Linked DNA regions of Rhinolophus ferrumequinum. Each later gene encodes a partner of the first gene's protein in a complex. Links are inferred from orthologs where the notes say so. Each region holds a gene or a part of one and is shown in the gene's direction. Other genes may lie near its edges.

Region 1 (16,250 bases):
TTTCTCTTTAGTCCTTGAAAAAAGTTCACTGCTGCAGTATTGTGTTCTGTGACCATATTGTTGTTATGAGGCTGCAGTCTGATTGTGTAGGCATGGCTTCGGTGATCCCAAATCTCCTTAGCATTCCAAGCCTTCTTTTAGAATGGGGAGGGGTCTGTTTCTCTCAGGGATTTCATTAACCCATGATGGTTTAAACAAAAGCGGTTCAATTGTTCTCTTATAACAAGAAGTCCAGACCTGGGCAGTCCAGGGTTTTGCTGTTTTTCCTGCTCTGTTATTATTAGTATGTGGCTCTTAACTTCATAGATGTGATAATGCTGTTTCCATCTCTTCATCCAAGAAGAAGGGGCAGGTTGAAGGGCAGAGTGTGAAAGGCTAGTGCCAGCTGAGTCTGACCACCGTCCCACCCCCGTTTTCTTTATTTCCCAGAAAAATAACCTTTTCCAGAGACCTCTTCAGTAGATTTCTCATTGGCCAGAACTCGAACACATGATTGCACCTAATTACAGGCAAGCCTGGGGAAATAAAATTATTTTAGCTGGGCACTTTGCCCTTCTGAACAAAATCAGGATTCTGTCAGTAAGGAAGAAAGGGACAATGTATATGGAGTGGGCAGCTGACAGTGTCTGCCCCAGGTTACTTCTTTAGAAAGCTCAATGTCCTCATTTTTGTTCATATTTATTTCAATTAGAAAGCATGATCTTTTCCTGAATTTAAACCTCAAGTTTCCGAGGCTTCTAATTATTATAACAATAATTACTAAAATTTTTATTGAGCAGTTATTATGTACAGTTATGTGCTAACTTTTTTCCCCCCCTTCTTCTGCCTCCTTCTCCCACCCCCCCTTCAAGCTGTTGTTTCTCAGTCTAGTTGTGTAAGACACAGCTCCCTGCCCCATGCTGGTGTTATGAACCTTGCGCTCCCCCCGGCTGAGGCAGTCGGTTGCCGGTCGTCGGTCAGCTGATCACAGCAGGCTGCCAGCTGCTCACACTGGCTGCCGGCCACTCAAGCTGGCCGCCGGCCGCTCCTGGCAGCACACAGCAGCACAGCAGCACAGCAGCCCGCGGCAGTCCACGGCAGCCCACACTGGCTCAGGGCAGCCCAGCTCCAGGGAGAGCCGTTGTTCACAGTCTTAGCTGTAGATGGTGCAGCTCACTGGCCCATGTGGGAATCAAACTGGCGACCTCGTTAGGAGCACTGCGCTGCAACCACCTGAGCCACTGGGCCAGCCCCATGCTATTTTATGTACAATATCTCATTTAATCCCCACAACATTTCCTTGAGGGAGAGCATCACTGGGAACTTGGATATTTGGGGTTTGAGCCCCTGCTTGGGAGGCAGTCACAAATTTCTTCTCTGAGTTTTAGTTTGTTAATTTGTAAAATGGGAACAATAATACATGTCTTATAGGAGTCTTACGAGACTTAGCAATTGTTTATGTGAACTACTTGGTTTAAAATAAGCCCTTGGGAAGTGGTAGCTGTAGCTGGGGATGCTGGTATTGAGAGGAGAAAAATAGCTAGGACACAGGCTTCTGAATCTGCTAATTCTGCCACTCCTGACGCCTTCTATGGGGCTCTCGAGGGAAGGAAATACGTGCACAAAGACAAGGACAGGCTAAGAGACATGTGGTTTCTAGGTGGGGCTTTGGCCGCAAACTTGCTGTTGAACCACAGTGTGGTGAGCCGTGTGATTTCTCAGAGTCAGAAAATTAGTCTGGGCAGGTCCAAGTGGCTGCTTTTCGCCTTGGTTTCACTTTGGTTCTTTGCTGTCTTTGGCATAATGGTGGAAGTGAGGGTAGGAAGGGCACTCCCCCCTGCTTTTATTTTCATTTGAGATATGACTTAGGCAGCATAAAATTCACTCTTTTAAAGTATACAATTCAGTGGTTGTTCATGTACAGTATTCTCCCCTTATCTGTGGGGGTAATGTTCCAAGACCCCCAGTGGATGCTTGAAACGGCAGATAGTACCAAACCCTGTATATACAGTTGACCCTTGAACAGCATGGGTTTGAACTGCGATGGTCATTTGTACTGCGCAGGTCAATTGAAAAAAACCCGTGTGTAAGTGGACCTCCTTATTTAAAACCCGCATTGCTCAAGGGTCAACTATACTATGTCTTTCCTGGACATACATACCTGTGATAAAGTTTAATTTACAAATTAGGCACATTAAGAGATTAACAACAGTGATTAATAATAAAATAGAACAGTTATAATACAGAGGGTGCCAAAAAAATGTTTTAAGAAAGGAAAAACATTTTAAGAGAGGAAAAAACTATATTAAAATTGTAATAATATATACTGATAACAAAAGATGAATACAAGTCATGTTTGACTTCTGCAATTACAAGAGGTGCTCAAAGTGGTTACTATCAGTGTAATTTTTTTTCTTTTTTAAAAGATTTTATTGGGGAAGGGGAACAGGACTTTATTGGGGAACAGTGTGTACTTCCAGGACTTTTTTCCAAGTCAAGTTGTTGTCCTTTCATTCTTAGCTCTGTAGGGTGCCGTTCAACTTCAAGTTGTTGTCATTTCAGTCTTAGTTGTGGAGGGCGCAGCTCAGCTGTAGGTCCAGTTGCCATTGCTAGTTGCAAGGGACGCAGCCCACCATCCCTTGCGGGAGTCGAACCAGCAACCTGTGGTTGAGAGGACGCGCTCCAACCAACTGAGCCATCCGGGAGCTCAGCTCAAGGTGCTGTGTTCAATCTTAGTTGCAGGGAGCGCTGTCCACCATCCCTTGTGGGAGTCGAGGAATCGAACTGGCAACCTTGTGGTTGAGAGCCCACTGGCCCATTTGGGAATCGAACCGGCAGCCTTCGGAGTTAGGAGCACGGAGCTCCAACCGCCTGAGCTACCAGGCCGACTCCATCAGTGTAATTTTAATACAGTTTTTGCCTTTTTAAAAATGTGTATACATTTTTTTGGTACCCTCTGTATACTGTAATAAAAGTTATATCAATATGGCATTATTAAGTAGAATAAGGGTTACTTGAACACAAGCACTGATAACCACGAGTCTGATAACTTGAGATGGTTACTAAGTGACTAACAGGAAGGTAGCATATACAGTGTGGCTGTGTGGACAAAGGGAGGATTTACATCATGGGTGGGACAGAGTGAGGCAGGTGGCACAGAATGAGATTTCATCATGCTACTCAGAATGGCATGAAATTGAAAACTTATAAATTGTTTATTTCTTGAATTTTCCATTTAGTATGTTCAGACTGCAGGTAACTGAAACCTCGGAAAGTGAAATCTCGGGCAATTATTGTATTAACAAGGCTCTGCAACTGTTTCTACTGTCTACTTCTAGAGTGTTTTCATCACCCCACAAAGAAACTGCATGTCCATTATCAGTCATTCCCCATCCGTGATTCAGGCCTGTGTGCTGGTGAGGCTGTCCCCCGGTTAATTGTTGTGTATGGTGTGAGGTAGGGGTCCACCATCAGTGTTTTGCATGTGGCTATCCACTTGTCCCAGCACCATGTGTTGAGAAGACTATTCTTTCATCATTAAATGGTCTCTGCACCCTTGTTGACAATCAGGTGACCATAGACACATGGGTTTATTTCTGGAGTCTCAATTACATTTCCTCCATCAGCATGTCTGTCTTTATGCTAGTATCACACTGTCTTGATTACTGTAAAAGGTACCTTTTTATAAGCAGGAGGAGGCTCTAGCTTTGCCACTGAAGAGAATACAGAAGATGTAGGTTTTGGCCCTAAAGCAGTCATAGTTTTCCTACTCCTGCTAACAGTTTAGCTTTCAAAAAAAAAAAAGATATATACATATATGTATGTATATATATACACTTACATGCATATATATATATATATATATATATATATATATGTTTATTCCATTGGATATCGTTGACCTCAGCCCTGTCTTAGCAGCATGGTTATCATTTTGCTGTTGTTCCTAGGTGGTACGTTTGTTGAGGTAGGGTTTATGTGTTTATATTTACACCAAGCACAGTGTTCATTACATGGATTCTTAATAAATTTTAAAAGAGTCTAAAGCAGGAAAAGTTAGGGGATGGGTATAACCAGTAACGTCGTGTCATTGGGAAGAATAGCGGACAACAAAATAGGTAAAATGTGATTTTCGGAGGCCGACTGGGGTGAGAGTAGTGTGTGTGGGATGCGAGTGAGGAAAATAATTGCTTTTCTAAATATGTTCCCTGTTGTTACAGAAACAGCAAGCGAATGTTCCCAATTTATACAGTAGTCCCCCTTTCAGAATTCTCGCCCACTGTCAGACCATGTGTTTGGATTCTCGGTTGCAAAACCATCATCTCTGCCCGTTGTGGTTTGCCAGGGAGTGTTTGCCATCGTGGAGATGGGAGACGTGGGTGCCCGGGAAGCTGTCCTGTCACAGCCTCAGCACAGCCTGGGAGGACATCGCCTGCGCGTCCGACCACGGGAGCAGAAAGAGTTCCAGAGCCCAGCCTCCAAATCCCCCAAAGGAGCGGCCCTCGACAGTCACCAGCTGGCCACAGCACTAGCTGAGGCCCCAGATGTGGGAGCACAAATGGTGAAGCTGGTGGGGCTGAGGGAGCTGTCTGAGGCTGAGCGGCAGCTTCGGAGCCTCGTGCTGGCCCTGATGCAGGAGGTCTTCACAGAGTTCTTTCCCGGTGAGCCACCTTCCTCACTGTGACTGAGCCCACCCTGTCCTGCCCTGCCCCGTCTGCATCCCCAGTCCTCCCTCAGCTAGAGGTGTTTATTTGATTGCTCTTTCATCTTTGTGCCCTGTTATGTTCTTCCACCCCTTAGCCCCCCAATGTCTCCTGACCTTTATTCTCTGCTCGGCACCCAGGCTGTGTGATCCGTCCTTTTGGCTCTTCCATAAACAGCTTTGACGTCCATGGCTGTGATCTTGACCTCTTCCTGGATCTGGGTGACTTGGAAGAGCTCCAGGTGAGTGAAGAGGGAGCAGCTGGGAACAGTCAGTAGGAATGGTCATGTGACTCTAGGTGAGCACCTTCCCTCTCACCTGTTAAATGGGGATAATAGGACCGGCCTGAAAGCGTTATTGTAATTGGAGAGATGTGAATGTGGATGTGTGTAAGGTAGGACGGAAAGGAATTGGCACGAGATAGATGGCATTTGCAACAGGAAAAAAACCAGATTTCAGAATGGCATGGATAATATCTTATTTTGGATAAAAAAATATATATATAACAAGACATACAATAATGTAATTTAGGGGTTATGTTTTTGCGTATGTGTTTTCTAACATCTAACGTACAGATCCTGCTTTTGGAATACAAAAGGGTTATTTTTTTTAAAAAAAAGATTTTATTTTTTAGAGTTTTAGGTTCACAGCAAAATTGAGTAGAAAGTATAAAGTTCCCATATGACTCCTGCCTCACAGAAAGGGTTACTTTTAAAATAATACTTCTTTTATCATTCTCTCTTTCTGTCTCTCTACACACACACACACACACACACACACACAATTTATATTTCCTGAATCATTTGAGAGTAGGTTGCATACGTCACGCCTTTACCCTTTATATCCCAGTGTGTATTACCTAAGAACCAAGGTAATATTCTAGTCGGTTACCACAGTACCATTATCAAGTCGAGGAAATGTTACACTGGTAGAAGTGTAAAGCATTGCAAGACTTTAATCCAGTCTGTACTCCAATTTTGTCAGCTGCCCTGACAGTAGACTATTGTGTTGTCTCTTTAGTTTTCTTTCATCTAAAATAGTTCCTCCACCTTTTTTTGTCTTTCATGACAATGACATTTTTATAGAATACAGACTGCTTATTTTATGGCTTTAAAAAGGTATTTCTAATTGAAAAAAAAATATTGTGAGGATTAAATGAGTTAACATGTGTAAAGCCCTTAGAATAGGGCCTGGCACATAATAAGTAGTAGGTCATGGGTATGTCTTGGGGACGAGACTGTTCCCAGTTAGGGGGCAGCAGGAGAGGCATTCACTCAGTTCTTTTCCATCCACAGCCAGCCCCAAAGGCTCCAGAGTCCCCATCCTTGGACTCAGCCCTTGCATCCCCACTGGACCCTCAAGCCTGCACCCCAGCCTCCCCTCCAGACTCTCACCCTCCAGATTCTCCTCAAGACTCAGAAGCCCTGGACTTTGAAATCCCTTCCTCCTCCCAGGCGCCCCACACTCCGGACTCAGCTTTGGCCTCTGAGACCCTTGCTTCTCCCCAGTCCCTGCCTCCAGCCTCACCACTGCAGGAGGACCGGGGAGAGGGGGACCTGGGGAAGGCTCTGGAGCTAGCAGAGGCTCTGAAGGGGGAGAAAACAGAGCAGGGAGCCATGCTGGAGTTGGTAGGATCCATCCTTCGTGGCTGTGTCCCTGGAGTGTACCGAGTCCAAACTGTGCCCTCTGCCCGATGCCCTGTGGTCAAGTTCTGCCATCGGCCTTCAGGTCTCCACGGTGACATCTCCCTCAGTAACCGGTACCGTTGTTTAGGGGGGTGGTTGGGGAAGGCAAGCTGAGCGTTCTGGGGTGGCTGAGGAGGGAGCCCTGGTGGGGGAGCTCCTGCACATGCCACGCCTCAAGCTTATCCTTGTTTGGACCCATCCCTCTTTCTGCCACTCATCTCCTGCCTGTCTTCCATGTCAATGGAAAGTATCTTTTTTAGGATACTGTTTTTAAGGGATTTAGAAAAGAGTTCCATGGTTAAGTAAGTTTGGGAAATACTAAGTTAAACACAAATAGGTTTCTTCCTTCTCTCCTTCTGCCCCACTTCCTCTTTCTCATTTCCTTTTTTCCTCTCTTTCTCCTTTTCTCCCCTTCTCCCTCCCTTCTTGTCTTTGTTTCTTTGCATAGTAAAGGCCTGAGCAGGCTTTTATTAACAATAACACGCTCTGAATGTCCGAGACGGGCATATAGGATGTCGTGTTCTTTGTACAGCCTCTCACAAGACCACTGTGTCAGCAAACACTTAGGAAACCCTCTCTGGCCGCCGTTACAGTCTGGACTGGGAGCTGGGGGTGATCGGTTCAGAGCGTTCCTGAGCCGTAACGTCCTCGTCTCCTCTTTGTCCCAGGCTGGCCCTGCATAACTCCCGCTTCCTGAGTCTCTGCTCTGAGCTGGATGAGCGAGTACGGCCCCTCGTGTACACCCTCCGCTGCTGGGCTCAGGGTCGAGGGCTAGCAGGTGAGAGGCAGGAGAGAGCTGGGGCTGAGTTGGTGTCGGGCAAAGAAGGGAGGCAAATACAGGAACCAGGATTGAGAAAAACTGCCAAGGAAGGGATCGGAAGCACCTCTAATCTAACTGGAATTATTGATTATTTACCCAGGGAGTGGCCCCCTTCTCAATAACTACGCCCTGACCTTGCTCGTGATCTATTTCCTTCAGACCAGGGACCCTCCTGTGTTGCCCACTGTGTCCCAACTCACCCAGAAAGCAGGTACAGCAGCCGGCCTCCACCCTCTCTATCTCATTAGTTTCATCTCTTCTCTTCTTCGTCTTACTCACACTGAGTTACCCTGGGAATGAGATCTCCGCTATCTCCCTCATTTCCATCCCTCACCCTCCTTTCCCTCAATCTTCCTGCTTCCAGGCTGACCCTCACCTTTTTCACTTTCACAGGTGAGGGTGAACAGGTGGAGGTTGATGGCTGGGACTGCAGTTTCCCCAGGGATGCCTCGAGACTGGAGCCCAGCACCAATCAGGAGCCCCTGAGTGAGTTTGGGGAGCCCACAGAGGACTAATAAATAATGTTGATCACAACAGGAGGTAACACAGTTATTGTGTACCAGGCATGGTTCTCATAGTAGCCTTGGGGGACAGCTAGTGTTGTTATTGCCATTTCACATGTGAAGAAACCATGCCTTAGAGTAATTAAGTGGCTTACCCAAGGTTACACTGCTAGCAAAGGGAAGGAGTAGCGTCTGGGAAATGACATTGCTGGGGACACAGGAAGAGAGCGTGGCCTCATGTTTATGGGGATCAGAGGAGCCTGGCTTCTGGCACTGTTCTGAGCCACTTAGAAGGGAAAACGAAAGTCCTGCTAAGGGAATGGCTCTGGTTCAGGGTCTGTCTCAGTTCTGGCCTCTCAGTAACCCCTTTTCCTGGTCTTCTCCTCCAGGTTCCCTACTAGCCCAGTTCTTCTCCTGCGTCTCTTGTTGGGATCTTCGTGGCTCACTGCTCTCCCTGCGGGAGGGTCGGGCACTGCCTGTGGCAGGGGGCCTGCCCTCTAATCTCTGGGAGGGTCTGCGCCTCGGCCCCATGAATCTCCAGGACCCCTTTGACCTGAGTCACAATGTGGCAGCCAATGTAACCAGCCGGGTAGCCGGGCGGTTACAGAACTGCTGCCGAGTAGCAGCCAATTACTGCAGAAGCCTCCAGTACCAGCACCGTTCCTCCCGGGGTCGGGACTGGGGGCTGCTCCCCCTTCTGCAGCCGAGCTCCCCTAGTTCTCTGCTGTCTGCAACACCCATCCCCTTACCCCCTGTTCCCTTTACCCAGCTCACTGCTGGCCTGGTCCAGGTGTTCAGAGAAGCATTGGGTTGCCATATAGAACAGGGAACCAAGAGACTGCGGTCAGAGGGAGGTAGAAATGGAGATTCTCCCCAGGGAGGGTCAAGCAAAAGACTGAAACTAGACAGACAGAAAACAAGCTGTGAGGAGAGGCAGGAGGAGCAGCAGGGATGTATGGGGGAGCATGGCGAAGATGGGGTGGAAGAAATGGTTATAGAGAGTGGAGAGTCAGTGGAGGACTGGGCCATGCAGAGCCCTGGGCAGCCAGGGGAGCCTTCCCTGATGGCTGGAAAGCACCTTGCCACTGGAGGACAGGAGCAGTCAGGCCATGCAGCGCTGGCTGAGCAGGGCCCCAAAGGACCAGACGCAGCCCGAGAAGGGTCCCAGGGTGAGACAGGGAAGGGGGCATCACTCTCCTCCGTGAGCTGGCGCTGTGCCTTGTGGCACCGAGTGTGGCAGGGGCGGCGGCGTGCCCGGAGACGCCTGCAGCAGCAAACCAAGGAAGGAGGCAGAGGTGGTGCTGGCACGGGAGTAGAGTGGCTGGCGACTGAGGCTCGGGTAACCCAGGAACTGAGAGGACCGAGCAGTGCTGAACAGAGGCCAGAGACTGAGCCGCTCCTGACCTTTGTGGCGTCTGCTTCCCAGGCTGACCAGACTCTCACTGTGACCCCACTTCAGGATTCCCAAGGCCTGTTTCCTGATCTCCATCATTTCTTACAGGTTTTCCTTCCTCAAGCACTTCGAAATCTTCTAGAGTCAAGACAGGGGCCCTAAAGGGCAATTAAGCTGCTAGTTTAATAAACACTACAGTTTCCTCTAATTTCCACCTGGTAACAATGCTCCTTCCGCCTCGTACTTCCCCTCCCCAGACCTTAATGCAGCCTTCTCAGAGGTGTCGTCTCTGGCCACTCCAAAACAGGTCTCAGCCTGTTTCCTTCTTACCATTTATCACAACTTGCGGGGAGTGCCCAGGACGGTGTGTCTGGCACCTGGAGCCCACTTGGGAGAGTTCGGGAGTGATGGAGTGCTGAGTAGAGGTATTGAACAGTACCTGTGAGAAGAACCAAGTTTGCCTCTTCCTTTACCTTGCTGCCGAGATTTATGAATGGTGACAGGGCCTGAAATTTGAGTTCAGGGTTCTTCACGCATTCCGTCACTTAACAGAATTCATCCCCTTCTAAAACTGGGTAAAAGATTTTCAAAGCTGAACATGGGTAAATGGCAACCTGTATCAGTTTGTCTTAAATTGTCAATCCCTCCAGAGTGACAGGAGGTGGAAGGGATATGGCTGTTGTCCCTTAGCCTCCCCCCTGTTGCAGGCCCACAGACTAGTGCCCTTCTGGAAATAACAGCATCCTGGAGATGCAAGGTGGTTTAATGGGAGAAAAACTAAATTTATTATAACAGAGGGTTTCAGACTTAGGCTCCGATTAGACATTCATCTTATCTAGAAAACCAGAGCAGGTCAAAAGGAATTTGGCACACCGCCATCTCCACACCGTGGCGTGTCGCACAGTCACGATGTTCGGGGCTTCGCAGGACCTCCCATCAAGCCTCTCATCTTGGGCCTCACTTATACTGCGGGCCGGAGGGGGATGCCTGCGGCACCCAGCGCGGCGCAGGGATGGCAGCTGTGCCACGTAGCTGCCTAGGGGAAGCGGTCCAGCTAGTTCTCTCAGTTTCTCCGCGCCTCTCTACACGTTGGGACTCGGATTGGCCATACCTGAGGGGCGGGCCAGTCACGTGAGCCACTGCGCAGGCGCGAGCGTTTTCCGCGCCAGTCCGCAGGCCCCACCCCCTTTCCAATTCAGCTGCCGTGGTACCCCGAACTGTCGTGCGTATGCCTTCTGTGCCGTCCTCGCTTTCCGGCTGCTATTTCTCCACGGCGCTCTCCCGCCCCCCTCCCTTCTTTCCCTCACGGCTTACTTTGCGGCAGCACTGAGAGCCCCACCCCCTTTCTCTGCGGAATCACCATGGCGGCTGGGGTAAGTTTGCCGGCTCAGGCCATACAGGTCACTATATCCGACGCCATCCTCTCCCCGAGTGGGACCAGCCGGCGTCAGAGGAGTTCTGGAGCCGAGTGGGGAACTGATTCGGGGTCTAGAGATCTTACTGTTGGAGAGCAGGGCTTCCAGGCCCCGGAGGGGAACTGAGGCTGGGACTGTCGGAGGCCAAAGAGGTGGAAGGGTCTGGGTTATAGGAGAAAAGAGATGTCGGATCCTGGCCGTCTGGGGCCAGAGAAAGGGGTTCAGGTTCATTGCCACCTTGAGACATGGGATCCGGGCAGGTTGACAGAACTTTTGCGACCGTTTTGTGGGGCAACAGCAGAGACGGTGAAGAGGAGGGTCTTTGTGGGCAGGTACGGCTGGCCACGGTCTAAGGGCCGTCCATCAGGGAGGTTTGGGAGGGAGAGGTCTCTCGGGACTGTAGAGTCAGACCAGTTGGACCCCGCCGGCCAGGTAGGCAACACCAGGGAACTCACTGCCGGACAGGACCGGAGGAATGAAATGCGTGACAAGGGAAGAAAGGTTTTTTAGGGAGAGAAGATGCCATTCGTCCCTGTGTCCCTGTGTCTCTTCGGAGGGGAACTTGGAAATGTCTTGGTGCGTGTGTGTGTGTCTTAGAGACAAGGACGATGCTTGTGAAGCGGTGAGCCGCTCAGCAATAGACAGGCACTGGGTAACCATCAATGAATGAAACAAGGGCTCTGGAAAGGCAGGGGTGTATGTCGCAGCTGGAGTCTGAGGGAGCTGGAAGTTCTGGATTTCTTGGAGATATTATTTGAGGGGAAGAGAATGCTTCTACAGATGTCCTTAGGGAAGGTCAAATCTGTCAACAAGCTTTATTTAGCAGTTGGTGTGTAGTTCTGTTCTCCGTGTTTTGGAGGACTCTGATTACACATGGCAGATTCTGAAGAACTTGGTTCACCAGCCGGAGTGAAAGAGTGAGTTGAAGAGATTGGGATTGTTCAGGAAAGTCATCCCAGAGGTGACATGTAGGACTTGGGACCCTTCTACTCACACTGACATTCCCCCCCCTTTCTTGCACAGACGCTGTACACATACCCTGAAAACTGGAGGGCCTTCAAAGCCCTCATTGCCGCTCAGTACAGCGGGGCTCAGGTCCGCGTGCTCTCCGCACCACCCCACTTCCACTTTGGTCAAACCAACCGCACCCCTGAATTTCTCCGTAAATTTCCAGCTGGCAAGGTGAGTAGGGGAGTGGGAGGAGGGGTCTTTGGTCCTGAGAACCCAAGTGGCTATAAGATTCTATCACTTTGAGATGGCCTCCATCTTTAAAAGGGAACTTTCCATTTTTTTCCACATTATAGTGATTTAAAAAAAAAAATTTTTTTTTGAGGTAATTGCAGATTCCCATTAGTGAAGATACTAAAGAGATATTCAATGACATTTTAAAAAAATTACAGGCATACTTTGTATTTGTGGGAGAGAGAATGAGTTTTGACTGATTTCAGTGCAAATATGTCAAGTATCAACTATGAACAGAATCCTTGCCCCGCGGGTCTTACGGAAATAACCAGGCTGAGAGTAGAAGCTCAAGTGCAGTGTGGGGAGCACCATAATATTTTGAGTATTATAGATGTAGATATAAGACTTGGCTTCTGACCTTTTGCTTGTTTGATGGAAGGCTTTTATCCAAATATCCAATAATATCTAAATCTTTTGGGTTTATTATGTGACTTCAGATTGTAAGGGATACCAAGTTAATTCAAATATTTTTGGTTCCTGAGTTTCAGATAGTATCAGGAGTTTCGTTAGAAAGGATCATCAGCCTTATATAAAAACGTTTTTATCCAAAACAGTTCACTTCCTGGGATTGGCTAGTGAGAAATTCCTGTGAGTTTCATTGATCTTTTGACTGCTTTGTCCCCAGGTTCCAGCATTTGAAGGCGACGATGGATTCTGTGTGTTTGAGAGCAATGCCATTGCCTACTACGGTAATTTGCAGTAGATAGGGCATGGAGGTTCTGGAAGTGAGGGGTGAACGAGAGGATGAGGATGAACTGGAATGGACAAGGGGAGGGCTTTTTAGGGATTGGATTGTTGTTAGCACGATCCCCAGGCTCTGACCTTTGTGTTCTGCCTCTGCAGTGAGCAATGAAGAGCTTCGGGGACGTACTCCAGAGGCAGCAGCGCAGGTGGTACAGTGGGTGAGCTTTGCTGATAGCGACATAGTGCCCCCAGCCAGTACCTGGGTGTTCCCCACCTTGGGCATCATGCACCACAACAAGCAGGTAAGCCTTGGAACTTGGGGAGAAACCAGGAGTGGGGATGATATCAGCTGCAGAGTGTCAGGGAGTAAGGAATAAAATAGGTTGAGAAAAGGAGATGCCAAGAATATGTGGGAAATAAAGGACCTAATCTTTGGGGTATGAGTTTGGAGAACTGGGCTGTTGATGGTGTCTGAGTCTTTGTCGGACCCCGTGGGGCTGGTATCTGTCAATGGTGGTCAGAGGAGAGACCTCTGCTGTAGGAAGGTTATGCCAAATGGTAGGGGAGTGGTTAGACCAGATGACCTCTAAGGTTCCTTTTAAAATACAAAGACACATGGCTACGATCATTACAGTGGAGAATGAGGGAGCACTGCACCAAGAAGAAGTTATTATGTGACTTCATTTGTGGGAGCTTCATTTGTGATACGTTTGGAAGAATCCTAGAATCTGACTCCTTTGAAAGGGTTAAATGAAATGGCTACCTGAGTTCTGTTCTTGGGGTGAGGGAAAGGGTTTGGTCCTCACTGATACAGTTGGTCATTTTAAATCAATAGGCCACAGAGAATGCGAAGGAGGAGGTGAGGCGAATTCTGGGGCTGCTGGACGCTCACTTGAAGACGAGGACTTTTCTGGTGGGCGAACGTGTGACGCTGGCTGATATCACAGTTGTCTGCACCCTGCTGTGGCTCTATAAACAGGTGAGTTAATAAAGAATCAGGTTGGTGGGATGAGAACTGAGGTGCCAAGGCTTCCAGGTGACTGTCCTGCTGTGAGGACCAGGACGTGAGGCGGTCTGAGGTGACCGTCTAGGAATCCCAGGACTGCTTTCCTTCTGAGAAGTGTGGTGATGTTCTGTTGCCTTTAGTTTGTTTGGGGAGGGCTAAGAGATTCAGTTTGTCCCCACGTTTCTTGGGAAGCCCGATCATGAGGACAGGTAAATTTGGCATTGAGAGCTTTTGGAGGCACAAGTAGGTTCTGTTCTTGGCCTTGTTGCTTACTAGTTGTAGATGGGGGTTGGGCTGTACGTGAATTCCTTTAGTCCTATTTTTTCCCTCTGTAAACTGTAAAACCAGGACACTGGTAATCCCTGCTGAGGTTATTGGGTCAAAGATGACATGTTGCTGCCTCCTAAACCACTGATTGATGAGATGCTGCTGCTCCGGAGTAGTGACGTGGGGATAGCAAGGAAAAAGCCCCTGCTGTGCCAGACCCTACGCCAAGGGCCTGACGGGTCATCTTAGCCTGTTGAGTGGGTGAGGAGAAGTGTCACCTACCCAAGGGCATGCAGTGGGGGACTAGAATTTGAACTCCAAAACTGGCTGCTGTCCTCTCCACCACAAGATTATTTTGCCTCTGATCTTGGCAAACTGAAAAGTGGTAAATGAGTTTTTCATGAAGCTGTTAAAGAACTGTCCATTATTCTGAAAAAAACTTTTTGCTGTTGAATATTCTTTACTTTCTGAAGTTGTTAATGTAGATTGTTTTAATTGTTTATTTGACAATGAGTAATTGATAGCCCTCAGTTGGTCCCAACCCCTCTCCCCTTTTTTAATTTTATCAACATGTGAAATTTAAAAGATTGGAAACTGTAGGTGTGAAGTGGCTTTGTGAAAGGAGTCAGGCACCATATAAATATTCTGCTAAGTAGTTTTGTAGTAAATGGAGGATGGGACCAAGTATTCTTTAAATTGGACTGGACTAGGGATTAGGAAGATAAATGGGAAACAGCCGTTCAGGGTAAGATGGTGCCCTAGAGAGCTGCTGGGGGTCGGGGAGGAAGGAGCGCCTCAGGGTAGAAAGAAGCAAGGGTGTGTTGGTCTCTGGCTTGAAACTCCTCAGGATCTTTCTCTCTACGCGCTTTGTTTCCATCCTGGCAGGTCCTGGAGCCTTCTTTCCGCCAGGCCTTCCCCAATACCAACCGCTGGTTCCTCACCTGCATTAACCAGCGCCAGTTCCGGGCTGTCTTGGGGGAGGTGAAACTCTGTGAGAAGATGGCCCAGTTTGATGGTAAGTCAGAGGAGGCAGAGGACCATGCGGCCAGTGTTTGGGGCTGGTTTGCTCAATCTGAACTCTGGGTTTCCTGTCTGGCTTTTGGGTTATGTGAGCCCACAGAATGTAGGGTATCACGTAGTAACAAATATTTTGTGAACCTGGTTGTATGCACGTACTCTCAACTCGTTTGTGTTAATAAGGTTACGATGCAGTTGTACGTGGTGTGAGGGTTGTGTTCTTGCTCTAGGATGTTCAGTGAGCTGGTGACAACGGAGAGCCTAGATCCCGTAGCTGTCCCCGTACCCAGCAGTTTTCTTCTAGTACGCTGCTTGCTGCCTGCTTTTGGAGGGATGTGGAAGGAGGCAGAACATTGACTTGTCTCCCTTCCTTTGCACCAGCTAAAAAATTTGCAGAGAGCCAGCCTAAAAAGGACACCCCACGGAAGGAGAAAGGTTCTCGGGAGGAGAAGCAGAAACCCCAGGCTGAGCGGAAAGAGGAGAAAAAGGCAGCTGCTCCCGCTCCTGAGGAGGAGATGGACGAATGTGAGCAGGCGCTGGCTGCTGAGCCGAAGGCCAAAGACCCCTTTGCTCACCTGCCCAAGAGGTAAGGAAGGCTACTGGAGGGTAGGGGGCATGGGACCCAAGAAAGGCCTGTTCTTGCCTACGTGATCCCCCTCACAGCCAGGGCCCAGAATTTTGGGTCGTCCGTAAAAAATTAAAGGTATGTTTTAGTTGGAAATAAGCAACTTCCTGAATTTATCAAGAATTGGGTAAGTTTTGAAAGTAGAAAGGAAGTTCCAAATGCATCTAGTATGGGGAAGATTGGAACTCCCCTTCTAGCTAAAAAAAAGCAGATAGGCACAGAATTGGGTGTGGAGGAACATTGGTGTCTAGCCTGCTCGTTAAAATTTGCGATCCCTCAGAACTAATACAGTGAGGTGCGGGGAGACGGTGCAGAGAGCCTGTGTCTGCTCTGTGTGGGCTGGCTTTGCTGAATCAGAGGACATCATGTCAGTGTCATTTGATTATCTTTTTGCTGTTCTGATGAATCAGACTATCACCATTGCTCACTAAGAGAAAGGGTGGTGACCATGGCTACAGAGTGCCTGTCTGGTTGGTGTTTCCCAACTGGGGGAGTTAAACCCCTCAAGGAGAAGGAAATAGATGGGGTGGGGTAGTTGTCTGTATCCTCCTTTCAGTAATTGTAGGGGTTCTTGGAAGAAAGTACAGTAAAAGGGAGATTTTTGGTGTGAAAAAAGTGGGACACCTGGTACTTTCCCAGTTCTCCATGTCATGTAAAATTTCCTAGGGCTAAGACACCTTAGAAGGAGGCCAACAGTTCCATGATTACACCGAGTTTATTAAGGGAACTTGCATACCAGGCGAGTCTTGCTGCAGATGACATGGGTGTCCTCCAAGCCACGTGGCAGGTGCTAAGGGATTTTATATAGGACAGTACAAGATGGATAGGGGTACAGGGCATGACCCACCCCAGATAAGAGGAAAATGCTGTACATTCCTGCCTGGGGCAGGAACCAGCACAAACCAGCGCGCT
Region 2 (15,985 bases), on another chromosome or scaffold:
AATGATGAGTATATTTTCAATGGCGAGCATAGTCTCTGAATAAAAAAGTTATTCAATAAATGCTTATATTTAATTTAATTGAGGTATCACACATATACAGAAAACTGCACAAATCATATGTATATAGCTCAGCAAGTTATCACAGAGTTAATGCTTACAGATTTTGATTTTTAAATACAACTGACTTTGATACTAACTGAAATTGACCAACTTATTCATTTTATGGGCTTATGCAAAACACATTAAAAACAACATCAGTCTTTTCCCATCAAATAAAAGTTGCCATCCTTTCCAGTGTTGTTAGTTCACCAAATTTCATGAATATTAAATAAGTATAGAAGTGATATTGCAGAAGAGAGGGGAAAGAGAATTACCTGATGCAGCGAGTACACTGTATACATCTAGTCATGATGGTCTTTACCAACGGCCCAATGTTCTTGTCCTCCACAGCACGTTTGCCCTCTAAAAATCGGCTCCTGTCACTTCCAAACATCATGGACTGGTCCTTAAATAGATTACAATAATCTAATGCTACTAACAAAGTTAAAACTTGAAACCAAAAAGATTTACGAAATTAGACTACTTACCTGCAGATCACATTCACCTCCCTGGTCACAAATAGGACAGTCCAGCGGGTGATTTGCTAATAAGAACTCCATCACACCTTCTCTGTGTGGAGAAGTGTAACATATAAAATGGTTTACATGTACGCTATTTAAACAACCTTCACAGATGTATGTTATCATATATTCAGTATTAATTTTACATTTATTATCAGAAATTCCAACGTAATTATCATCTGAGTACTTCTGAACACATAATCTAAAAAAATGCTTATAGGAGCCTAGAATAAAACATCATTAGAGAACCTAGAAAACTGTGACTTTTAATAATACAACATTACCGAAAGTTGCTGAATGGTCCTCAGAAATACTCATTAATGAAAAACAAAAACAAACATTCAGTGCTAGGACAGTACAGTAATGTATCACTGCAATAATCTCAGTTCAATAAGCCCCAGATTCACTGTTTATCACAAACTGAGCAAGTTGCTAAACAAGAGTTTTAAATGTGGATCCCACACTAGGCTCAAAACCATGCACACCTGACTGACTTCATCTCCTCTACTGCTTCTAGAAGCCAAACAGGCCAACTTCATCAGAGTTTGATACTGAATTTATCATTTATAGGAAGGTCTAAATACTGACATGTGCAATTTTCTGCACTAAGAGAAGTTGCTAAGCCAAGTAACAATACAGTACCTGGCTTTCTTAGATTTCTCTGAGTTTGTCAGGATATTCCAACCTTTCATTACTGGCATAGCACAAGCAGCTACAACCTGGAATTTCAATGAAAAAAATCTGTTTAAGAATTTGTATTTGTTTGTAATTATAATTAACCTGATTTATAAAAACATTAAATTATACATTTGAAAACAAGCAAAGAAAGGAATATTCTTGAAGGCAGAATTTTTATAGTTTTCATATTCATAATATGATAATCTGACACTTTACATTTCTCTTAGAAATAAGTAAGACATCCTACTTCTTAATTTTTTATGAGGCTCTGCAACAGAACATCAAATAACTGTGTTTTGATTAGTAGGCACTACTCAATTAAAATGGTATAAGCCAAAATAAAATTAAACTTCTTCCCTGCAACCCTCTCCTCTAGTGAAAATGGCCCAGCATGAGCACTTCCAATGGGCTGCTGGCCAACCCCACATCCTAGCTGTGTGTCATGCAGCCATTTGGAAATATGAACAGCTGTAAGAAGTCACCTTTAATTTTTAAATCTGTTACAATTATACAGCCCTTGTGTTTACAAAGCACTTTCATCAATGTGTTTCCAGCTTTGAAATGACAAGAATCAACCACACAAAAAAATAAACTTATAGATAGAAATAAACAGGGCTAGTTTCTCCACTATAATTATATTGATTCTAAATAAAGTTTGCTGCAAGATTTCAAGTTTTCTACCTTCTACAGCATGGTGTGGAATTTTAGGTATCAAGTACCTTAGGAGCTTTCTCAATTTCAACAAGGCACATCCTGCAGTTTCCAGCAACAGACAACCTTTCATGGTAACAGAATCGAGGGATCTGCATGCCAACCTTCTCACAAGCCTAGAAGACAAAGGAGAAAACTTTTGCCATTAGAATAAACTGACCTCATCCTTGTCTTGTCTAAAACATACACACACACAAAATGAGGCCACCCCCTACCTATCTTATTAATCCTATTTATAAATATCTGTATCTTCATTCTTACTTCATCCCTGAAGAGAGTTTCCTCCTTTGCTCTTGATTCCAACCCATCTGCTTTGAAGCTTCCTCTTTAAGGATCCTCAGCATGCCTACACCTCATGTGGAAGAAACTGGATAAAGTATCCTCAGGTATGCTAAAAGCTTGACTCCCATTTCCACTCTGCACCACTGTTCACAAAGATTCTCCCTTCAAACTCCATGCCAATGCTTTCACACCTGGACTTCTTTGTCTAGTTCTCCTCTTTCGGATTAGACTCCATTTCATACTGTCTAGCGGACTATGATCTGGTTCTATCTTTGGCTCCATACACCCACCCAGGATTCATACTCCCACTGTGGCTCCTCCCAGTTCCCATCTGCCTAGTAAGGGGGACTATTGGTCTTGCTCTACCAATTACTACTCCTCCTTCTCTGAGCCTATAAACGTATTCGAATTTCCTCTAGTTAGTTCTTTCATCCTTAGCCCTCACTCTAAAGCAATCTCATCAATGTCCAATGTTTTAACTACCTAGCAAAAATGTATCGAGTCTTCCTGTATGCTAGATGCAGTGGATATAGTAGACAGATATTGTCCCAGCTTTCATACTAGCTCATATTTCATATTACATCTAAACCTTCATCTGCACCCAGATAGTCCTCCACTTCTCCAAGGTTTAGACTTAAATAGGCATTTGCTCGTGTATGTTCCATAGTTAAAATTCAACCTATTTCTGTCCCCTACTACCGTATATATCCCCCAAATAAGCTAACAAGGCCAGAAACTACAAAAATCCGCCTGCCCTTCATCATTCCTAAAAGCCTATCTACATCTCACTCTCCTTTGAATCTACCCTCAATTTCATTCCCACAGCCACCATCTATTTTAGGCCTCTTCCTTTCCTGCTCCACTGATGCAAGATACTCTTTCCTTATCTCTCATTCCAGTCTTGTTATTCTCCAAACCATCGCCCTGCTGTCACTGTCATACTGCTAACAGCCACGAAAACTCTTAATGGATCAAACTACAAGCTCTTTAGTATGGCATATATCTTCTTGCATGATTGGTCCTCACCTTCCAGAATAACTTTTCTGTTGTATCATCTTCTACATACCTTATGTTCCATCAATACCAAACTATTTGAAGCTTCCTTGTCTACTTATAAACATCTATTGATCCTTTAAAATCTCAGGCATCACATGAGACGTCCCTAACTTCTCTTTCTACCACCTTCTATACCTGCCAAAATATTCTGCACTGTACTTTGAATACACTTTTATCATATATTTATTGTTTACAGGTCTGTGCCTGGCAGATAGTATAGAAATGGAGGCTAAAATGAATAAAGAGCATTTAGCTCTGTGATAACTGGCAGATGGTATGAAGCATCACTTCCTCATGACCAACTTTGTTAGTTCTGGAGGAATTTGGATAAATTAAAAATTTAGGGCATAAACTCAAGAACACACTACCCTTCATTCACCTGCTTTGTAGGATATATTCCTAGAAATATTACTGAAAATAGAAAGATTACATAAAAGTGAAAAGCATCAAACAGGCTCACAACAAACAAAGGTTACTTTCTCCCAAACTTACATACAGTAACTAATAATTTATTTTAGGTAACTTCTAATTTCTTAATGAGTTATGTTTGGAAAGCAGAAGTGAAACAAAAGAATTGCCATATTTCACTAAGAAAGTCAGAAACAGATAAATGACAGCTAACTTCAAAATGCGAAGATTTCAAGTCAAACTTATTTTCATATACTTTTACTACTATAGTTCTTTTATGAGCATTTATTAAGGAATCTTGAAAATTTTAGAAGTAAACAGTATAAAGGAAATAAACTGGTATTCTTTCAATAGCAGAATATATACAGAAATAAAGAATTAGAATGTATGCCTACTTGGAGGACGGTAGTTCCCGGTTCCACCATGACAGATTGACCATCAACAAATACTTCAATCAAGTTGCTTGCTGCTGTGGCAGTTGTTCGAACTGAGCATCAAAAATATTGAGGTGAAAAATAAATTAACAGAGTTGAATTTACTACAGCAGAGGATAATGGATTAACTTATAAGCCTAAAAATTTTCCTCATTTTATACCATTTCCCTCTACTTCCTTCGACTCAAATTGTTAAAATATTGAATTAGAAAAAAGCTTTTTCAATCCTGAATACCAAACAGAATGTAGCAGTCTACTTTTAATAGGAGTTTAAGTTGAAACTTAATACCACTGAAAATGTGTTCATGGGAAGACCACTTTTCAAAAGTAGTCTTTTTCTATTTTGGCAAAAATAGATGGGCAGTTCCCATTACTTTCTATTCCATGATAATTTCTATAACTGGTTAAGGTAAAGTTGTATTTTGAAAATTATTCCATTTGACTTGGGTCATTTGTTTCTATTTTATTGAAAACAAATTAAGAGTTTAGAGTCTTTCAAGAAATCTTCCATAGACCTATGAATTTACAAAGATATAGTACCCACAAATGTAAATTTAAAAACTACTCACCACATCCTTTTGGAGACTTAGAAAGGCCTACTAAGGCCCTTCTTACAGGTATCCTTAACATATTGCTAAGAATAAAACAAAGAAGAGTTATATTATTGTAGGAAGAAAACCATATTTACAAACTTTTTGGTATATTTCATCGTTTTAAAAGTACTCCACATACATCATTCCATTGAACATTCTACAAGTCCTGATATTTTCCCTCAAATCCTACAGAAGAAATACTCAGTCTCAGGGAGATCAGTGACTTGTACAATGTCAAGGAGCTAAGAAGGAGCAGCTATTGTGTACCGTATTTTGCCGTGTATAATGTGCACTTTTTTGCCCAATTTGTGAGGGAAAATAAGGATGCGCATTATACATGGGTAGTACTAATTCTATTTCCCTGAAAATTTGAGCCAAAAACGTGGGAGCACATATACATGGGAGCACATTACACAGCAAAATACGGTAAATTTGGGCCTTCTAATTCTACATAAATGGCAGTTTTTTTAACTATCAACAAATGATCAAACATAAAACATAAAACACTACTATATAGTACAATAAATTTCAAAAATAAGTTAGCTTATCATTAACAGATGTAAAATAAAGCCTACCTCTCTGCCTTCATTTCTTACCAATGCCTTCTAACATTCTGTTTTGAACAGTTATCTACTAAATGCTCCTGAGATATTCTGAGCTCTCTCACAAGCCCCAACCCTGGAGTGTCATTTTCAGTGCTGAGTAGTTACATTTATCTTACACATTTGCAACTACCTGTTTATATGCCTGTTTTACTCCCACTGTATTATGAACTTCTTGAATCTATCTTCAGTGCCTACACCCAAGGCTGGCACACAGTAAGCTCTAAAATAGTGGTTCTCAACCAGGGACAATTTTGCTTTCTTGGAAACATTTGCCAATTTCTGGACATACTTCTTGTTACAACTGGAGGAAAGCTACTAGTGTCTAGTGGGCAGAGGCCTGGGTGCTGCTAAACATCCTACAATGCATAGGCCAGTCCCCCATAATAAAGAATTATCAAAAGTGTCAACGGTGCTGGAAGTTGAGAAACCCTGCTCTAAAAGGTTTGCTGAATAATCAATGAAAAACATGGGAGTGGAGTATATAAACAACACCGATTAAAGATATATACATAAGCAAACAGAAAGAAAAGTTATCTAAACTTTCAGTTTTTTGTCCATTCATTTGATCATATGGGCTAAGATCTAAATTATAATTTTTGGAACTTTTAAAAATGCATTTGGAACTTTTAAAAATGCAAAGTTATGTGATCAGAATGTATCAACATAAAGAATTTCAAAGGTAAGAGGGGAAAATAATACATATACATGTTTTAAGCATAAAGTTTCATATACCTATTATAAATGATGTGTATTTTATGAATTCAGATTTCAATAATTCATAAAATTCATTAATTTTGAATTTGTGATATTGAATTTGCAGACATCAGGTCTGTCACCTCCTAGTGAGTGATTTTTAGTAAATAACAGTTTCTGCTTCTTTATCTATAAAGCAGGAAGAAAGCAATACTTCCTAGGCTATGTGTTGTTATTAGTAGGAGCTTAATAAATGTCAGTTGAAGCTGAACTCAATTTGGGCAGCATTAGCCACTTAAGATCAGCTTTAAGATGCTCTTCCTTTGTGCTCCTTCTCATTACTACCTGCACACACTGTGTATATATCTTCATTACTCCACCTGGTAAACTGTTAGTAATCAATCTTAGTACCTACTAAACTGTAAGCTCCTTGACAAGGACTAATGCACTTTGGTCATTTCCCTTTTCTGAAGACCTAGCACCACATATGCCTTTGGGAAAATAATCATCAAACAGTCTTATCACCAATTTCCAGGATGAGTCACATCAGTCCTATTAAAATTTATTGATATAAAAGTCAACCTGAATTTACTGAATTAATGACAGATTCAAAATCATGCAATATTTCATACAACGTAAAAACGTCAATAATATTATTCGTCGCAATACAATTTAAAGTAGTGCCCACTTTAGTTAGGAAATCAACCAGAACTAGGCTATCTGTTGAAAATCCATCATCAGGCGCAGCCCCGCACGAACGGGACTCAGGAAGGCGGGTACTATGGAACCACCGGCAAAGATCTTCAAAGGAGTTTTAGTAGCTGAATTTGTGGGCATTTTTTGGAGCATATGGTTTGTTCAATAAGATGAACACAATGAGCACGAAATTTCTTTACCTTGGAAGTTTATTACAAATCCACTGAATATTCTAGAATGTATGGAATCAGAGAGAAAGATCTAGAAAAATAGTTGAACAGCAGAAGTTAGGAATTTGCCCACTGATCAAGGTTTGCCATATTTGACAGTACCAGGCAAGATCGAAATTCCAAAGTTGACGTGAATAGATTTGGGATACCCATCAATATTCCTCAGTGTAAAAATCGGGGCAAAATGTAAACTCTTAATTAAGTCAGAGGTTCTGTTCTTTGGACTGTGAAGAAATTCATGGAAGGTATGTTTATGGTTAAAATAAAGTTTTGTTTGTGTACACTACTCAAAGTGGTTCTCCTAAAAAAGCAAATCCAGCATTAAAGAAATACTGCGTAGCCCCCACGTTAAGAAACACATATTTGCAAAACTCTGATGGTATGTGCTTCACACATACTAAGCCACCATGTGGGAACCACACTTTGTGGTACAGGGACAGTATCACTCCACCTCCTCCACATGTACCCTGCACCCTTCTGTCCCGCCAAGGCACTCACTTCCAAGGCACCATCATCTCTTGCCTGAACTGTCACACTGGTCTCCTAGCAGGTCTCTGGCTTCCACACTATTCTCACAGCCTCTCCCTTCTTTCCACCAGGTGTGGCCTCAGACTGAAATGCTCCTCCCTCACATCTTTCTGGCTCCTCCTCATCCTTCCAATTTTGGCTCGGGGAGACTTTGCTTCACTAGCCTACCTAAAATTTCCTAACTACTCCCCGGTCCCATCACCCATTTAATTCTTCTTCATGGACTCTGTTCTAGCTCAGAGGAGACGTTCAATAACTATCTGTGAAATGAATTCTATCTCCAATGTTCGAAAATAACCTAACTTCTACTTTCCTGAGATTAAAACAGTGCAGGTCCTCTGGCAGCCTCCTAATAGTACCCTGCTTAAGGGTGCACACACAATTTGGTGGGGGAAAAGGACATTCCGCAATTAAAAAAAAAAACCAACCTCGTTTATTCATGCCAACAGTTCACGTTACATTTTATATACCCTCAGTACACTTTTGAGGAGAGTTGTGTCTGATGCACGTTACAATACTGTACATGCACTAGATCCCAAGAACTTTTAGGCGTAGCTTTGTTATTCGTAGTGCGACCTTAGGCTACATTTTAAAATGTCTTTTCCTTCTGTTTCCCCACCAGTGAAAGGAATAAAAAGTGCTACGCAACGCTGTCAATGGACAAAACAAAGAAACAAAAACACCAATCAGAGGCGTGGACGGTTGCTAAGGCAATAGCAGCCAAACAATGATGCACTGTGCCGGGTATGCGCTAATTTGGGGGGAAATAGTCTTTGGGCCTAAGTCACTTGACATAGGTCGTCTCCCAAGGAACAAAACGGCCTCCTCTCCAGAAACGGGAATGTCCTGCATTTCCTTTGCAGAGGGAAGGTCACCCACAAGCCCGCACTGGGGCCAGCGCTCCTCAGGGCTTCCTCCTCCTGTCTGCTCCAGCAGACCAGAAACCATGGCTAACAGGCCTCACCGGCCGGTTCTCGGGGGTTCCTGGGCAAGCCGGGTGGGAAGCGGCGCCCAGTCAAGGACAAGAGGAGAATGAGTCTCCTGGGCAAAAGTAAACACTCTTGTCAAGAAATAAACTGCTGTGGCCAAAGAACCTCAGCCTTTTCACCCAAACACAACCTCACCTTCTCCCTGGAGCCGCCGAGGCTGCTGTGCAGAACAGTCAGCACCACACCGACCCCCTTAGAAGCCGGGACTCTTACTCAATATGGCGGCCTCGGCTCACTCCGTCACCCCGGCCTGGTGAACGGAAAGCCAGGAGGGACTAGTAACCTCGGATTCGACCATTTCCTCCCCCGATTGAGTTCGGCAATTTCCGTCAGTTCCACAGAAGGCGGGGCTGAGGGCGTAGCAGCCGGGAGGAGGCGGAGATTCGTGGAGAAGGGACGACCTGGACCAGCAGTTCCGCCGGAAGTGTCCGGGAGGCGAAGGCCGATCTACTTCGGTCATCTCCGGATCTTCAAGGGGCGGTTCCGGTAATTTTCGGAAGCCGTGGAGGTACTTCTGTAAGAAATGCCCCTTTTATTATTGTTTTTTTAAACACAGAGAAAAGCCTAGGGATAATTTGTGGGCCCGTTTAATTCAGAGACCCGATTTTTATGTTGAGGAAGGAGATTGATGTACTTTGACCTTTAACCTTCGGCCGGGTGCGACAGAGGGAAACGCCTCCGTCTCTATATAAGGAATTTTCCGGCGTTTTGCGGCCTTTTTTTTCCCCTCAGTGCTCGGCGTCCACCGCTTGAGCTTCTATTTCACCCGCTGCCGCCCAGCTTCAGGGTCAGCCGACGTCATGGGTTTTGGAGACCTGAAAAGCCCTGCCGGACTCCAGGTGCTCAACGACTACCTGGCGGACAAGAGCTACATCGAGGGGTGAGCGCGCAGTGTCGGGCTGGGGTCGGCGGGGTGCCGGCGATACCACGTGGCGCGGCCTCCGCCGCCGCTGGAGAGAGGAAGCCGGGCTCCAGGCCCCTCCTAGTGGAGGGGGCCGCGAAGTGAAAAGGAGCAAAAATGTGCTTTCTTGCTCATTACTTAATTGAACCAGGTTCTTCCTGGTCTTTACTCAGTTAATGAACGTAATCCTGTGTATCTACGTTAGAGATGGCAATCTTTGAGGTCTACTAAGGAACAGGCATTTCTCAGCTAGAACAGATGGTCCCTGATCTTAAAACAAAACTAAAGCAGCCTAGGTAGCCCGGTAACAAATGGGTGAGATCTCACTAAGTAATTTGACGTAGCTTTTGTTACTTATTGGATGGTGTGTTGTGGTTTTTTAAAGGCGCGTGTACTTTTTTTTTTTTTTGGGTATCAATTGCAGGTATGTGCCATCCCAAGCAGACGTGGCAGTGTTTGAAGCAGTCTCCGGCCCACCACCTGCCAACTTATATCATGCCCTGCGTTGGTATAATCACATCAAGTCTTTTGAAAAGGAAAAGGCCAGGTAAAACTACCTTTGTAGTTATCTGAAGAATAGAATGCTGTCTAAGCTTTAAGTCAGGGCTTTCCCATGAGAGAATTAGACCCAGGCGGCATGAGCTTTGTTGGGATACTGGGAGATAAATTTCTGTCTGACTTTAGAAGGCCAAGAGACTGAAGTCCTCCATTTTTTCACAGAACAGGTAGAACATGGACAACAGCAATTCAGCCTTTCCCCACCCTGCCCTGCCAATGTGCCTGTTCCTGACCTGGGGGGCCCACCTCTGGGGTGAGAGGGTGGCTCAGTCATTCAGTTCTTGGCCATTCTTCTGAAACTGCCAACAAGGGTGGAAGTTTGGGGAGTGGACTGCAGTTCACTAAGAATGGAATTGAGCATACTTAATGAGATCTCAAATATTCATTCTGAAAGAGTAAATCATAGTGAGTATTGAATACAGTGTCACATACTACTACTATTTCTGGGGTAAGGAGTGAAAACATAAAAGTGCTTATCTGGGAGTGTTAAAGGGGGTCTGCTGATAAATAGTGATGAAAATAAGTTCTCACATTGTCTGAAAAAGGACACTGTACCAGCCTAATAGTTAAATTTAAACTTTCTTTCAAGCCTGCCTGGAGTGAAGAAAGCTTTGGGCAAGTATGGTCCCGCTAATGTGGAAGACACCACAGGAAGTGGAGCTACAGATAATAAAGACGATGATGACATTGATCTCTTTGGATCTGATGATGAGGAGGTATGTAATAAGCGTATTGTGCTAGGGCACCAACTAGAGTCAGATTACCTGGAGTTGAATCCTGGCTTTATTTCCTACCTGTAAATATTCTCACTGGTTACATGATGAGTAAAATCAAATCACCATCTTTCGGCTGAGCTCGTGATGGATTTGCTTTTTTCTGATAAAGCTGGTCTTTGTTGTGATGACCCTATGATCTTTAAGCTGAGGAGCAACCAGCTTTGTGAAATGTATTAAATTGTGTCTTTATAGGAAAGCGAAGAAGCGAAGAGGCTAAGAGAAGAGCGCCTTGCACAGTATGAGTCAAAGAAAGCCAAAAGTACGTCTTTTTATGATTTGTGTTTATTTTCATTTCATAATGTGAGTAAATCTTTTTCAAAGAATGATCCCCGAAGTGACTTCTTCACGTTCACTGACTGGGTCATGATTTCAAAACCTATAAAAGTTGTTCTTATAACTTCCACAGCTACTGGTCTGCAGCTGTTTTTAATGGTGGCAGTTGTGGCATTCCTCTGTGGGAAAGAAACTGTTACACAACTAAACACCTCTTTCTTAGCAAAACAGAAAGTGGGCATGTGTGTGACAAACAAGATGTATCCCATAATTTCGTGTGGCTAAGGAGATAATCCATTTTGAAACAAATTAATATTGAGTATTTGAATAATGCTGTGACTTGTACTTTTTTAGAACCTGCACTTGTTGCCAAGTCTTCCATCTTATTAGATGTCAAACCTTGGGATGACGAGACAGATATGGCAAAATTAGAGGAGTGCGTCAGGAGCATTCAAGCAGACGGCTTGGTCTGGGGCTCTTGTGAGTTCAGTCTTTGCTTTTTTGAAATTGGCATCTGGAATTTGCATAGTTGCAACCTTTGCCAATCAATAGGATTTTTCTAACTAACATTTTTCTTAATGTTCTTCTCAGCTAAACTAGTTCCTGTGGGGTATGGAATTAAAAAACTTCAAATACAGTGTGTAGTAGAAGACGATAAAGTTGGAACAGACATGCTGGAGGAGCAGATCACTGCTTTTGAGGACTATGTGCAGTCCATGGACGTGGCTGCTTTCAACAAGATCTAAAATCCATCACGGATCATTACCCTTAAATAAAAACTTGAACGACAACCCTTGGCTCTTCAGTCTTTTAATGGGAAGGTGGTACAGCTGGCCCTTGAACAACATGGGGGATAAGGGGGCTCAACCCTCCCACATAGTCAGAAATCCACACTTAACTGATTTCCCAAAAATAAGTCTAGGTATCCACAGGAGAGGGGTCCTAGTACTCCATGGATGCTCAAGTTCCTTATGTAAAATGGCATGAAACAATGCGTGCATCGAGCCCTCTACATCCACAGATGCAAAACCTGAGGATACAGAGGGCCAGCTATACATTTTTAAAAACCTGCGTATAAGTGGACCCACACAGTTCAGACCTATGTTCAAGGGTCAACTATATTCCTTTGATTTTGAGAAATTCAGTGAATACGTAATTCGTAATATAAATTTGGGTCAGCATTCTTGTTACACAGCCAAAAAAAAGGGAAAACTTAACAAAAACTATAGATCTCAAGTAGATTTTATAAATGAATAGAAATGGACTTTGGTATAATTCTTGTACGCATTCCTCAGGAATGTATGATGATACCACTTTTACCACAATATGTTAAATTTTCATATTTGCCTTGTTTTTAAATCAAGGAGCTAAACTTGGGCAGATTTTGGATGAAGAAATTAGCCCTACAGGTTTATAATGGTTCAGACCTTGGGCTTTGCAAGGAAGTAACAGTGAACTGATTTTCTTCAGTGGGAATGTTGGAGTACCGTAAAGAATCATGAGTACCTCTTTGAGCACCTCTTGTAATTGCAGAAGTCAAATGTGACTTGGATTCATCTTTTGTTATCGGTATATATTGAGTATTACAACTTTTATGCAGTTTTTTCCTTAAAATGTATACATTCTTTTTGGCACCCTCTGTATTTACCTTTGCAGAGATTCATCCCATCCCATTTCAGTGTCCAGCTGTCCTGGGAGTGAGCTTGTCACTGCAATTGTCTTAAAGGCTGAAGGCTTTCTTTCCAGCATTGTGCCTCTGTGTAGGGAAGGGAGAAATAACCTGTTTCCCATAATCTGTGAATACTTACATATACTTATAAATCAAGTATTTTGAGTTAACTTATAACTTGAATTTCTCTCTGTAAAAAGATAACCTGTTTCTTGTCCTTTTTCTATATTTTATTTTCCCAGTCTAGAGTTTTCCATTTATGTCTGTTGCAGAGGAAAACTTTTCCTCTACCCTGTTAGATTCTGTACTTGGGGAGTGCAAATTAAATGGACGAGATTAGCAATAGAAAAGTCACATTTAATCATTTACGTAGGAGAGTTCACAGAAAAATGTGACTAAGATGAGGTTAGATTTTGGGGAGTACGTACTACCTTAATAATGGAAGGGGAGGACAACAGGGCACTTAGAGGAAAACGAAATGGCTTTTTGGAAAGAGTGAATGGTCCTTTAGGAGAAACGATAGGTGATAATACTTTTGTGATAATGTCTATTTAGGAGTGTGTGATGTGGAGACTTAATTTCCAGTGATAAAAGATTAAGAATCAACCTCTGATTGCTCCTGGGGAGGGGATTTATGACAATTGAGTTATTTTGAGTTCCTTTAGGAGGCAGCTTTTATGCAGGTAAGAAAATTCTGGAACTCAAATGCCTTCTGCTCAAAATAATTTGTATGCCATAGTAGCATATTCTGGACCCCTTCACTTCTCTAGATTTCATGAAAAAAAAGAAAAAACAAGTCAATACAGTGCTTAGGATGATGCCAAGCACATACTGAATAATATCAATGACAGTATTTGCTGGATAAACCCAATATTTGGAGATAAAAGGAATTAAAGTCTGCAAATGTTAAAATAATGCCTTACTGTATGTAGGCTGTTAAAGGAGAACATTAGGAATGTGTTTTGAGTAGCATTGTGTCCTGAAAAGAAGATTACAGAGGTAATTGACTCCCAGGCTGTGTGGTTCACAAGCCTAACTTGGGTGTAGAGGTGGGTGGACGTAGGTGAGACATTGTACACTTTAGGAAATCTGATTGAACCTATCGCGAAGACGGTAGGAGGATTTCAATACCGAGGTAGTGCTACAGGTAAATGTACTCAAGTGAAGGCAGTATGTTAAGTGATAAGTCCTGTTAACAGTTGCATATTAATTTGGGATATACATGTAACATTTGATTTTTTTTAACAGTTTTTATAAAAGCCTGGAAATTGCTGACCTCTAAAGGTCTTATTTTGTAGTCTGTAGACCAGAGGTTAAATGATTTGAGGTCAAAATTTTCCTAGCAGAACCAGACTGTTCTTTTTTTTTCTCTCTCAATCTGATTTTCTTTATATGTGACTACCTTGAATGTGGGATATTGCTTAAATTATAAAGAAAAATTATTTAATCCGGTATGTATGTACTGATGAATAAAATCATCCTCGCTAAACAATTCAGTCCAACAGACCCCATTAAAAAAAAAAATCACTGGAGAAATTTTCAGGTTGTCATCATAAAAGCCAGCAGAGGGCAGCACTTCATTTTCTGGAGAACCAGAGAGCCTGTGGATTCTGGAAATGCTGCTAAGGAAAAAGAAGTAACTAGTGTGAATAGTAGCCCAAAATAATTCACAATCATTGACATGTTAAAGGGACTGCATACTAAACCATTTGACCAAAATGTTAACTATTAACAAATATTAATGACAAAGTAATGATTAAAAATTTACTTAAAAGAGTTGAAATACTGGAATAGTCAGTTCAAACCACAACTGTCTTATAAATCTTAAAAAGATAAATGATGAAACATGACTTTAAAAATCTTGACTCCACGGCCTTGAATAAAAAATAGATTTAATGGTATCTTAATTTTATATTTTAAAAAATAGATATTAACATAGTTCAAAATTCAAGAGGTTATACAGCGAAATCTTCTCCTGTCCCCCAGACCTCTTGTTCACCTCCATAAAAGCAACCAATATCATCAGATTCTTAGGTCTTTTCAGAGCTAGTCTAAGCATGTGCACAGACTAACTGCAGCATGCAACACAAACTGGGCACCTTGCATTTTGTTCATAGAAATGGACTTGGATATCTTGAAGATGATCTATATCTTGGAGGTTCCATATCAGTACATTAAAAAAAACTTTCTCTTTTAGCAGTTACATACCCCATTGTCTCATATCTTATTTAACCAGGCTATTGGATCTTTAGGTTGCTTTCAATTTTTTTGCTATTATGAGCAGTACTCATATCTGCGTGTGAGCCAGTATACTGAATGAACTGCTTTTGAGCCAGCAGACTAGGAAGGCATAGGTATACATAGAGAAAGACATTTTTTCCCCCCATTTCTGGCTTTGGAGTGGAAAACAAATTAAGAAGCCACCTCCTTTTGCAGGCCCCCTAAATGATTACAATTACTGAAACCTTGTTTTATTTTTCATATTCAGCATCCCCAGCAAAGGGCAGAGCACAGTGTGGGAATTCAAAATGATTCATTTTGTATCACTATGTTAGATGCTATAAAAATAGAGTTATGAAAATTACTATAGGGAGGTGGTTCAAACACACAAAACTGTGAAGTATGAGTCATTTTGTGATTGAGCAAGTAATCCAAATGTTCAGCGGGTCGGGAAGGCTAGAATTGAAGAAACATTTTTGAGAGAAATCGGGGCTTAAGCTGGATGGACCTTGATCAGTTTGTTTAAAAAAAAAATGTTCCAGAGAGAGAATGTTCCAGGAGGGTGTTAAAGGCAGAATGATAAAGGCAAGAATGAGAATAGACATTTGGGAGGCAATTCAACCAGTTTGGCTGGATTCTGCAGTGTCTGTGATTTTGTAGGATGGGGCCAGGGTGAATTTATAGGCTGGCTTGTTCTGTGAGGGCAGTATGGAGCCAGCCTTGATGGTTTCCAAGCCAGAGAATGACAAGATAAAGGCAGAGCTCTGATCTGGAGACGGTGTGGTTGGAAGCAGGTAAATAAAACGATTTATAATCCTAACATAAATGGGAATGACTAAATTATGGCATATACACTCAATGAATATTTTATAAGCTTAATATAATCACTTTAAAAAATAATGGAAACTGTAGCAACATTGAACAATGCTTGATGTTTTCATTGACTACTATCAAAAGATAAGCTTATAAACAAAGACAAAAATACAAAAAGTTGTATTAGTGTTTCGGAACATATGTATAATTTTTTTCCCAAACAAATATAATTTGGCAATGGCAATTATTGCC

The links.
Region 2: the proteins of EEF1G (region 1) and EEF1B2 are in contact, whole or in part, in a crystal structure (PDB 5DQS), measured with the Homo sapiens proteins. The link is inferred for Rhinolophus ferrumequinum from reciprocal best matches to the Homo sapiens genes EEF1G and EEF1B2. Residues at the interface, in NP_001395.1 of Homo sapiens: Leu146, Lys147, Thr148, Arg149, Thr150, Phe151, Glu155, Arg156, Pro185, Asn186, Arg189, Leu192, Thr193, Asn196, Gln197, Pro198; in NP_001032752.1 of Homo sapiens: Ala20, Asp21, Lys22, Ser23, Tyr24, Tyr28, Val29, Cys50, His51, Arg54, Asn57, His58, Ser61, Tyr62, Glu65.

The regions. Positions count from the first base shown.
Region 1 is NC_046294.1:8,191,628-8,207,877, forward strand, and holds the start of EEF1G (elongation factor 1-gamma), read left to right. Parts: upstream 1-10,300; 5' UTR 10,301-10,443; coding exon 10,444-10,455; intron 10,456-11,520; coding exon 11,521-11,679; intron 11,680-12,364; coding exon 12,365-12,428; intron 12,429-12,582; coding exon 12,583-12,725; intron 12,726-13,258; coding exon 13,259-13,402; intron 13,403-14,581; coding exon 14,582-14,711; intron 14,712-15,094; coding exon 15,095-15,299; intron 15,300-16,250. Other genes in the region: TUT1 (speckle targeted PIP5K1A-regulated poly(A) polymerase), read left to right, coding at 4,325-4,640, 4,823-4,923, 5,977-6,440, 7,035-7,144, 7,287-7,397, 7,580-7,672, 8,079-9,244. UniProt on the Homo sapiens protein: Probably plays a role in anchoring the complex to other cellular components.
Region 2 is NC_046291.1:26,178,429-26,194,413, reverse strand, and holds EEF1B2 (elongation factor 1-beta), read left to right. Parts: upstream 1-9,018; 5' UTR 9,019-9,039; intron 9,040-9,255; 5' UTR 9,256-9,323; coding exon 9,324-9,403; intron 9,404-9,848; coding exon 9,849-9,971; intron 9,972-10,571; coding exon 10,572-10,698; intron 10,699-10,791; exon of another isoform or gene 10,792-10,870; intron 10,871-10,950; coding exon 10,951-11,017; intron 11,018-11,156; exon of another isoform or gene 11,157-11,290; intron 11,291-11,385; coding exon 11,386-11,511; intron 11,512-11,622; coding exon 11,623-11,777; 3' UTR 11,778-11,822; downstream 11,823-15,985. Other genes in the region: NDUFS1 (NADH-ubiquinone oxidoreductase 75 kDa subunit, mitochondrial), read right to left, coding at 375-505, 588-669, 1,263-1,339, 2,018-2,125, 4,151-4,242, 4,759-4,819. UniProt on the Homo sapiens protein: Catalytic subunit of the guanine nucleotide exchange factor (GEF) (eEF1B subcomplex) of the eukaryotic elongation factor 1 complex (eEF1).